Linked DNA regions of Neodiprion lecontei. The protein of the gene in region 1 binds, or shares a complex with, the protein of each later gene. Links are inferred from orthologs where the notes say so. Each region holds a gene or a part of one and is shown on either strand. Other genes may lie near its edges.

Region 1 (5,904 bases):
ATGTGTTAAAATTCGATATAATTACTAAAAACCTACTGAAATTATCGAACCCACCACATCCTTAATTTAGAACTGACAGAGTTTAGTTTACAACTGAATTATTTTAGATTCTGCTAAAACTGTACATCAAAATAGAATGTGTACCAAGTTTGTTGACAATTCCACTATCGTTTCGACATAATCATGTGAAACATGTCGAAAGGTGTTGCGTCGAGTATGATGAGTACAATTGAACAGTTAAGGACAATTTTTCTAATTTCAAAGGTTAAAATACAGCTAAACTAGTACATATCTATTAACCATACGATAGTTGGTTATTTTTTTAACTTTCCTCGCATCAATAGCAATTTTCCAAAATTGACTGAAAAGTGAAGTGTATAAGGGTGTCCACATCTTTTAACGATTGTCTCAATTTTCTTCATCCCATAGTGGTGAAGAAACTCCATTGGTAGTAGATGCATGAATAACGAATCAGTGATACAGTTTCAAGTTACAAGGAATTCTAGTATGTACACAAGTATAAAAAGAAATAAAATCGTCGATTTATGTACATGTTCGGTATTACACTTAGTTATACAATATACAAATTGTTTTTTCATTTTATTTTAATATTCATATACAACGGAATCGTGATTCTAATCCCAATACTTGATTTTACCATCCCAGCCAGCTGTTGCTAGGCGAGAAGGTTCGTGAGGATGCCAAAGAGTCGAGATGCAAACACCGTCGTGAGCTTTCCACTTTTTGTACAGTTTTGTCGTCTTCCAGTCCCATATGTAACATTTACCATCTGCGTCTCCGGAAACCAGATAGCTGTAAGTAAAACGATGTTGATGCGTATCACAACTGAGTCGTAGGAAATGAATTCCTACAATAGGGCTGTGCGATTAATCGAATTATCTTGTTCTTTTTTTTTTTAATTACTCGTTTTTTCGGTCAATCGATAAATCGGTCCTTTCAGTTAATCGATAACTTAGAAATAACAATTAATCGAAGTCTAAGATGAATTGTACAGCCTTACGTAAAGTACAAGTGGCACAAAGGCTTACCTCATATCTGGAGAAAAGTCAAGTCCGCAAGCATATCCGGCGACCATATGCCCGGTAAAAGTTTTCTTGCGATTCATTTTGAACCGATTAAGAGCCGAGAATATCACGATCTTATTGTCCATACTTTGGCAGGCAAGCCACTTTTGGTTTGGAGATGGAGTAACAGCTGGCATTGAGTGCATCGTTGGATCAGCTATGTACTTCATATCTACCGGAATGTCCCTACAAAATATATTTTCAGTTAGAATATTGAGATTCCTGATGGTACACATTCATATATTTCTGTGTATACCAGATTTCAAGAACGCACGATTTAGAAAGTTTCACATGATTTCAAAGATCACTAATGATTTCACAAGATTTTAAGATTTGATGAGATTTCAGATGATTTCACGAGTGGTGTAAACCAGATTAGAAAATGGCTAACCTCTCACATTTCTTACATACCATTCCCACACTCTGAGACTTTTGTCGTCCGAAGTTGTGACGAATCTTCGATTTTCATCAACGAATGTAATCGTGTTAACAGCACCCAAGTGTCTGTCATATTCCTGAGTAATCTCACCAGACCTGATATCCCACTAATGAAGAGAAAATGACATTGATTAAATTGGGTCAATTCATACTGCAAAACTCATATTACTTACGCAAATGATTTTTTTATCACTTGTTCCAGCTACAAACAGATGCTGCTTGTCTGGATCAGGATTAAACTTTGCACAATAAGGTATTTTCCGACTGGTAAAACGACTAAGGCAAGCGCCAGTCTCAGTATCCCAAAGTTTAACATATCTGTCGTAGCCGGCAGACAGAAACCGTTTTCCGTCATTATCAAAACTGACATCGCGCACAGCCTGTCGATGCCCGTAATAAGTACGAACACACCTCCTGTCTTTGTACACCTCCCACAGCTGTAAGAATAAATGAAACGTTAGTTAAGGTATGAGGCATTGTGCTTTATTGACAACTCACCTTGACTCTACAGTCCATGCTGCAGGAAAGAAGCAAATGCGCCGTTCGTGGGAACCACCGAATTTGCGAAATACCCTTGGTGTGTCCTTCCCACGTATGAATTTGGGATTTTGGTAAGAAACATCGATCGGGTGGTGATTCTGACCGTAGATTGACACCCACATCTTGTGGTGCGTGCAGGAATGATCGACCTTGGTAATCCACACTGTCCTTGACTAAAAAAGAGTGAATAACAATGTGTTGCACATCACAATCTAGCGAATTTCAACTGAATGACCATCAGCAAATTAAACTCACTGTGCAGCACAGTCTTCTCCTCAAGTGGTTTATCTTCGGTCTGTTTGCCCCTCTTATTTCTTTTGGCTAAGATTTCTTCAAGCTCAGCAGCTTCTTCCTCGGTAGGTTTTATCACTCGTCTTTCGTCTACGTAGCCTCCCCAAGGACCCAAGAATCCTTCAATATCGGCTGGATCATTGTTTCTGTTTCTTTTTCTCTTGTCTGCAGGTCTCAATTCGGTATTTTCAAATACTGTCTTTGCTCCAGTCTCTTCGGCAGCCTCTTTGGCGCCGACAAGAGTTTTTCCTTCTTCTGTACTACCATCAACTGTGGGATCCAATGCGTACCCTGATGAATCAAAGTTTTTCCGTTAAATAAACTTCACTCGCAAGGGTTGCAGAATTGATGAACAAGTAACTTAGTTTGACAAGAACTTTTTTTTTTTCATTCCCACCTGATAAACTTGTACAATTCAACAGAAAAATTCGAACAAAAAGATATCACTTAAATCCAATTTGAAAAGGTCGCTATCAAAATTGTAAGTTTCCCCATTAAATAGCATGGAGCAGATTACATTTTTTCAAATTCTTAATACTCAGCTGCATTTAATGATACAGACTTAATCGTGGAAGTAATTTGTAGAGAATGTAACTTTCCAAAAAGTGCCGAGGTTTTGTTGTACACTTAATAATTTAGCCACTAAAGATATTTAAAAATGAATTTCTACACAAAGTTAACTTTCAAGACTTACAAATTGTGAACTATTGAAGCTATAGACTTTGGTCCACGGAGCATATTTATAGAGAATTGAATTGCCTACAAATTCGCCATGAAGATTTTTATTGTAAAGCCAGTAATTTAGCCACAAAAAACATTTAAAGATGATTTTATGGAAAAAACTGACCTTTTACCCGAGTATCACAACTTACGAGTCGTTTGAGTTATAAATTTCACTCAATGAAAACTTTAGTCAAGAACTTACTTGTTTACTAATCGTAGTTCAGTGATGACAATTGAAAAAAAAAAAATTTGAAATCTGTTCCATACCATTTGAATACAAAATCTTTGAATTTCAATTATTTGAACAATCTTTTAAAATTGGATGTAACAGTTATCCGTTGGAGAGGATTTTGCTTATCTTATGGATAAGTTTTTCAGGTAGAGTTCAAAATAAAAATTTTGCATCAAAACACCCTAATATACAGTCATGGGTAATACCGACCGTAACTTGTAAAAGTTCGACGCTGGTTTTCGAACTGAAATTCACTGATATGCGCTTGTTCCACGTATCCAGAGAGCATGTTTTTTGTTGCTCTCTGCTGCTGTGTTTTGAATGGATTATCTGGTCCTACATCAGGTGCAAAGAGTTCCTCAAATTTTGGATTGTGCATTACCTCTTTTGACGTAGAATCTATGTGTCGAACGCATAGTTCTGTGCCCTAATAAACAATTTAAATGTAATAATTAACAATGACAATTTAATCACAAGGTGATATAAATAAATTTATTTACCGTTGGAACAACTTCTGGGGCTAATCTGACTTGGAGGGCGAGAGAAGATATGGATTTCCCTCCAGGCAGTGGTTTTAAATGCACTGCTTCATCGGTTGAAATGGTCGAATCGTTAACCTCAATCTCTGTTGCAGGGACACTTGATGCTTCTTCGGATTCACTGTTATCATCGCTACTCACATACTCTTTGAGCGCGAGCATTTTCTATTTTATTCGACGCAACTTTTAACTTAGAAAGTATAAACCAGCAGGACTTATTTGCAAAACAATATTTCGTTAGTCGTATACTAGTGACGTTTAATAAATATAACCAAAGTACCAAACATAACTCGACACCCTCTGAAGCATTTGTAATGTATTTGTAAATGAATGTGTGTAGTTTTCTTAAAGTGGCGCTAGCAACCAGCTTGCATGTGGCGTCGCATCAGGAAAACTTAGAAATTACAGAGCAATGTATTTATTACCGATAAAATCCCTACTGACACGTTCATTTACCAACCGAGTCGTATGATTACAGGCTGGACTTTCACGGGCGTCTAATTGACACGATGGTAACTTGACGCGGCATCGCCACGCCGTTAGCGGGAAAAGTCGCTCATGAAAATGAGTACCGACGCAATGGCAAAAGCCGCGCATCGAAACATGATCGAAACCCACGTGGTTAGGTCAATGGCTAAGGTCCATTACATTTTTATTCGAAGAATTTTAAAATCTAGAATTCCTAATTGGAAGTGTAAAGAAATGTGGTAAATAAAAAAGCGAGATGAAGAATCTGATTGCATATTCGAACTGTGCGCAATCGATTCCTCTCACAAAATTATGTCGATGTGGTGCATCGAAGAATTTGACTATTTTTCAAAATAGGCCAAATGTCCACTGAAAAGTTTGAAAGAAATTATTGTTTATCGTTTATTCCCTCATATAGGTTTTTACATACATTTGTATTTCAGTGTGAATTGTTCCTACATGAGTCTAAACTCGCGCGCAGGATTGTAGGATGTTTATCTGTTTAATTGTGTTATCTGCAAGTATGGTGCATGGGGTGTAGATTTTTTTTTTACAATATATTTTTCTATTGTTGTTTTTTTCTGTTTTTGTTAAAAGTTAACTGTTTCTTAATTTATATGTTCTAAATCCCTGTATTTGTCAACTCTTCGTATAGTGTTCTGCCTGCCTGTAGTAGCCATGGTGTAATTGATTTCTTGAAGGAGTACATCTTCATTTTTCTTCATTTGCGGGGGTAGTCTGTTTTATACTTTGTTTGCAATGTATTCTTCTATTTCTTGTCCATGTTTGGTGTGTGTTTTTGTGATAAATCTTGAAGAGTAGAGCTGAGGGCATAATTCCTTGCGGGGTTCCGCAGAGTAACTTCGTTTTCTCGCTGTATGTGTTTCCAATTTTCGCTCTCTGTGTTCTCACCTTCAGCTAGCTTCGAAACCATTTTGCTGTTCCTTGTATTCCTGTTGCCTCGAGTTTGTTGAGTAATTATTCATGCGGTATTGTATCGAAAGCTTTAGCAAGGTCCAGGTAAGTTGCCATTACTTTTTTGCCTTTATCAGTGCTGCTTTGTACGCGGGTTATCAGTTTATGTGAAGTATCCGTAAAACTGCTTTCTGTCGCAAAGTATGTTAAACCTGCGTATTAATAAATTTATTGTAGAGGTTTCTAGAACCTTAAACGTATTTCCCATTCATGCCAGGGCATTTAACTTGATTTTCTTATGTATATAAAGTAGAGTGGTATTATTGATTTGAAAAACAGTGCATCTACATTGCAAATCAAGCTTTCTCTGCAAGTTTTCGGTAATATTTATAACAGCACGTCCATTTATTCCTAAAATATTTTTCATCGGAATCTTTATCCCACAAAGAAACCAGAACTACTACTTAAATATCTTAATTCACATATTGTCATTCATGTAAATAAAATATTCCGTTCAACGACTCTGTTCTAAAGTTCACACCTCATATGCACGGCCTCCTGCATCTATAGAATGTTCATACTAGCTTTCAGACCACCAAAATCCTATTCAGATATCTGGCTGAATCACAGACTGCGGAGAGAGTTCATTAAAGTCATCACATTAGTAGCACAA
Region 2 (4,277 bases), on another chromosome or scaffold:
GATCCTGTCCAGAAATGATATCCAGATTTGGCATGTAATGTTCAATACATATAAATGATGTTTTTTAAAGGGTGCGTACTTTTTCACATGCATAGTGCCTTCCACGAATTTATCTTTATATCTACAAATTTTTGACTCGCGCTTCTTTCATCGATCTTCATACGACGCCAAAATTATTTATTCACCTAAATATATTTTATCATGGTTTAATATGCAAACAATTTTTAAATCTTGGTCAATTATGTGTAATGATGTAGATCTTTTTAATGGCAGCTTACAGAATAAAGTATTTTATTGTATAATAGGCTTGCTCATCTTATTTCAGGCCTTTGAATTTCTTTCATATTGTGCTAGGTGAATTCAGTGGAATATGTTCTGAAATTTCACGTGATTATTTCATATATTTTTACGTTCATACTCTATTGCAGCAAATTGCTGGCAGTGGTTAAAACTATCTTGTCAGACTGAATAGTGACGTGGTACATAAATAATACAGATAATGTCATTTACCTTTGCTCTAGTTTTTATTATTTGTAATCTAATACAGAGAAGTTTAATATTGTAAATGTTTATGTATGGTGTGAAACCTGACCTATTATTTCCACAGTGTGAATAATGAAGATGGGTATATAAATTTTCCAATTATCAAGTGTTTCCTCAATTTTTATCAAACTCCCTTCGTTTTTCATAATAAAGACAAAGCATGAAGCTATTTTTGCAATAGAGGTAATTATATAAGTCTTATATTTACAGCGATATTAAAACTGATGCCAATATTAATCTTCTTCTGGCCACGGTTTGCCAATGCCCTGCGTTGCTCCCATCCTTGAGGGGTCTTGACTTGGATAATGAATTGGTGTAGTTCCTGGAGGAAAGATAGGTGCAGCAGCAGCCATTGGAGGAGTAAACATAAATTGTGGAGCTACTGGAGGTGGAGGTATCATCATGATTCCTGGCGTGGCTTGCAAATTGAAGAAATTGTTGCCCATATTCTCAGGTGGCGGGGGTAGTGCTCCAGGAAGCCCGGGAACAGGCTCTAACATTTCCTTGATTGTTTCTGCGGCCGAAATAGCCTGTCTGCCTTGTGACCTGCCCCACTTTATGGTCAAACGTCTTCCTCCCAGTATTAGTTTGTTGAATGTTCGTTCAGCGGCAGCTTCCGCCGCACTTCGCTGTGTGTATTGAATAAAGGCACACTGTTGCCGCGGCACCATTGTAATTGATCGAATTTCACCATATTGATAGAAATGGTCACGCAATTGTTTTTCCGTTAAAACATCTCCCAAATTTCCAATGTACAAAGTTGTTATTGATTTGTCCTCTGGTGGTTCCAATTTTGGCATTGCTGCAGCTCTGCGCATCAATTTGTCAGCAACGGGATCGTTTACCCCATAATAACGATCCTTGATATTTTGATCTGCTAATGGATCATCGGGATCTGTGGGCTTTTCGTGACGATAAGGGCACTCTTCCCCTCTCTTACACTCTCCTTTCACCCAAAATGAGCAAATGTGAGGTCTGTTTCTTTTATAATATGGACTTGTCCTTGCTAGCTTCATCAGCAAGTCGCTGGCGGCAGCTGATTTACCAACAGCACCTGCTGGAGTTGTTGCATCCAGTTTGCCTATTTCATTGTCAATGTTCTGAACATAGTATTCCTTATTCACATCAGATCTTGGCAAATCGTCTTTAATTTTTAACGCTGCATCTCGTACTTGGATTGGCAGGCCATATTCCAAGTCTAAGAGGCATGTCTGACATACGTTTTTCAGACGACTACATGTTTGACAAACTTCAGTCTTTTTGAAACGCATTCTTGCACCTGGACACCATCTGAATACTGTGAATGGACGCATGCATATTTTACATTCTTTGCCATAGCGTTCCTTTGTCTGCAAAAAATACACAAAATAGTGAACAAGATGTTATATGTAAAGAATATCTCATGTTGACTATTAAATACTTGAACAGGTTTAGGTTCAAGTGACTGACACAGGTAAAAATCTCTTGCACAGTTGTGATTACAATTTTAGCTGATTTAAGGTGCTGATGGGATGGTGTAATGCAACAAAGATTTGATGTATTAAATAATTTACTTACCATACGAATATACGGATTATCGCCCAAACATGTCTGACACAAGATCGGAAATTCCTGTGAATGAAAGAATTGGATTAATTTGGCTATTTGCAACAGAGACGAAGCATTGACGAAAAAATCACTTAACAATACAAAATAGTATCAAACTTACAGCATCTTCCCAATTTTGTCTATTATAAGTATTTGTGGTTTTGGAAGTGGCCATTACAAGATCCGAGCGTTAAAGAACTCTACGAAATGGAACAATTTGGAAGTGGATTAGCGACACTGGCGCAGCTGTTGGGGTTTTCGCTAAATAACCGCAATCACATACTTTCTCTGTCCATAGGCATAACTTCAGTGGGTGTAACAACCATGGAGATTAGAGTAAAGGAGTGGACACAGCATAGGAGAATGTAGTAGCGGCGTCCTGAAAAACCCGTCCTTCAATTAGTTCTTCGCTCTGCCACTAGCATCGCATGGGACGAAAAGATCGTAAATATAGTAATAAAATTACTGACCGATCCGTGCTTGCGCAGTAGAATGAAAAGTGAGATCTTGCTGCATATCATCAGAGAGTTACTGATTTCGACATGATGCTGGCTGCATTCACCTTCCGAGTAACACGATCATCGCAATGGTAAGCCCAAGCCAGTACGCAGCCTGCGTGTGCTTACCGAATATTACCATAGACGATTATCATAAATAATAATAGATCAGATGTAATAATGATGCAGAGACCGGAAAGTATATATGTATATGCGGTCCATGTAAAATTTTATTAACGATTAATAAGTGATGCATACTATGAATTTTATAATTGTCCAGGAGACAAACTAGATTATCTACAATAATACAGCTATAATACGAGAATAGAAGAATTATTCATTTCGAAATGGGATTCTATTCGACACGCGCTCCATGTATTCCATAACGTTCATGTTCATAATTATTCCAACAACTTTTCACTTGCTCTCTCTATCTTGAATTTTCATAGGCATAGAATCGAAACGTTGTTTTAGCTGGTCGCAAGTGAAGTATCTGCGTTGGGTGGAGGAGCAGAATTGTTTTTCGAAAAGTATTCGGATGGAAAAAAATTCAGAGTAACTGTAATACATCACGGATGCGCTAATTTTGAACAAGATGAAACGGATGCTTCGTATATGAGACAGTATTTAACGCTGCGCAGTGATTTAAAGACCTAGAAAGGTGATAGGGAGAGAAAGAACGACGCTTCTTAACACTTAAAGTGTATTTTAACACACATTTGAAAGATACGTGCGAAATTTTTCATCATCCAACTGTCGCAGAACGGCAGCGTTATTAGCTGACCCGTTAACTGAAGGATATATCTTCAGTCAACGGCTGACCATCGAAGGGCCTGGCCGCTTGAGTCTGGAATCGGCAGAAGATATAAAGCGTGTATTTCTTGTATGAAATGTGAAAACTAAAATCATTATACATCATATCATATCATCATACATCATACATCACACATCGTACATCGTACATCATACATCATACATCGTACATCATACATCATCATACATAGTATCAAAGTTCGAAACCAAAGTTTGGATGTCGGATGTTCAGAAAGTGACGTCACCAATTCAAAATCAGCTAGCCGAATTCCTCAGTCGGGAAACAACCGCGCAGTAGAGCGGACGTATGAGAGTCGCGCTCCGCAAATTTCGAGTACCGGGTTCTCAACCTCCCGGATCCCGCGCTTCGGGTCCGCTACGTATTTCGAGTACTGGGTTCTCAACCTTCCGGATCCCGCGCTTCGGGTCCGCTACGCGGTGAAACTCGACTTCCAGGATAAGCGCTCCGTGGTTCCTCGTTCATGTTTACAATAAATTATTTCAATTCGTTTTTCGCGCAATCCCAAATTCAGTAGCTGTCAGTCCGCTAATAAAATTTCTCGACTTCCCGGATAAGCGCTCCGTGGTTCCCGGTTCATGTTTACAATAAATTATTTAAATTCGTTTTTCGCGCAATCCCAAATTCGGTAGCTGTCAGTCCGCTAATAAAATTTCTCGACTTCCAGGATAAGCGCTCCGTGGTTCCTGGTTCACGTTTACAATAAATTATTTCAATTCGTTTTTCGCGCAACCCCAAATTCGGTAGCTGTCAGTCCGCTGATAAAATTTCTCGACTTCCAGGATAAGCGCTCCGTGGTTCCTGGTTCACGTTTACAA

What was found. Proteins that work in one complex are often made in the same cells at the same time.
Region 2: pre-mRNA-processing factor 17 (region 1) and pre-mRNA-splicing factor RBM22 share a complex: the UniProt entries of both Homo sapiens proteins name them as parts of the postcatalytic spliceosome P complex. The link is inferred for Neodiprion lecontei from reciprocal best matches to the Homo sapiens genes CDC40 and RBM22.

Annotation. Positions count from the first base shown.
Region 1 is NC_060261.1:15,302,081-15,307,984, reverse strand, and holds pre-mRNA-processing factor 17, read right to left. Parts: upstream 4,165-5,904; 5' UTR 4,011-4,164; coding exon 3,810-4,010; intron 3,737-3,809; coding exon 3,520-3,736; intron 2,646-3,519; coding exon 2,319-2,645; intron 2,237-2,318; coding exon 2,022-2,236; intron 1,961-2,021; coding exon 1,697-1,960; intron 1,631-1,696; coding exon 1,497-1,630; intron 1,272-1,496; coding exon 1,050-1,271; intron 814-1,049; coding exon 636-813; 3' UTR 521-635; downstream 1-520. UniProt on the Homo sapiens protein: Required for pre-mRNA splicing as component of the activated spliceosome. Plays an important role in embryonic brain development; this function does not require proline isomerization.
Region 2 is NC_060262.1:27,059,826-27,064,102, forward strand, and holds pre-mRNA-splicing factor RBM22, read right to left. Parts: upstream 2,440-4,277; 5' UTR 2,306-2,439; coding exon 2,252-2,305; intron 2,155-2,251; coding exon 2,101-2,154; intron 1,893-2,100; coding exon 777-1,892; 3' UTR 503-776; downstream 1-502. UniProt on the Homo sapiens protein: Required for pre-mRNA splicing as component of the activated spliceosome. Involved in the first step of pre-mRNA splicing.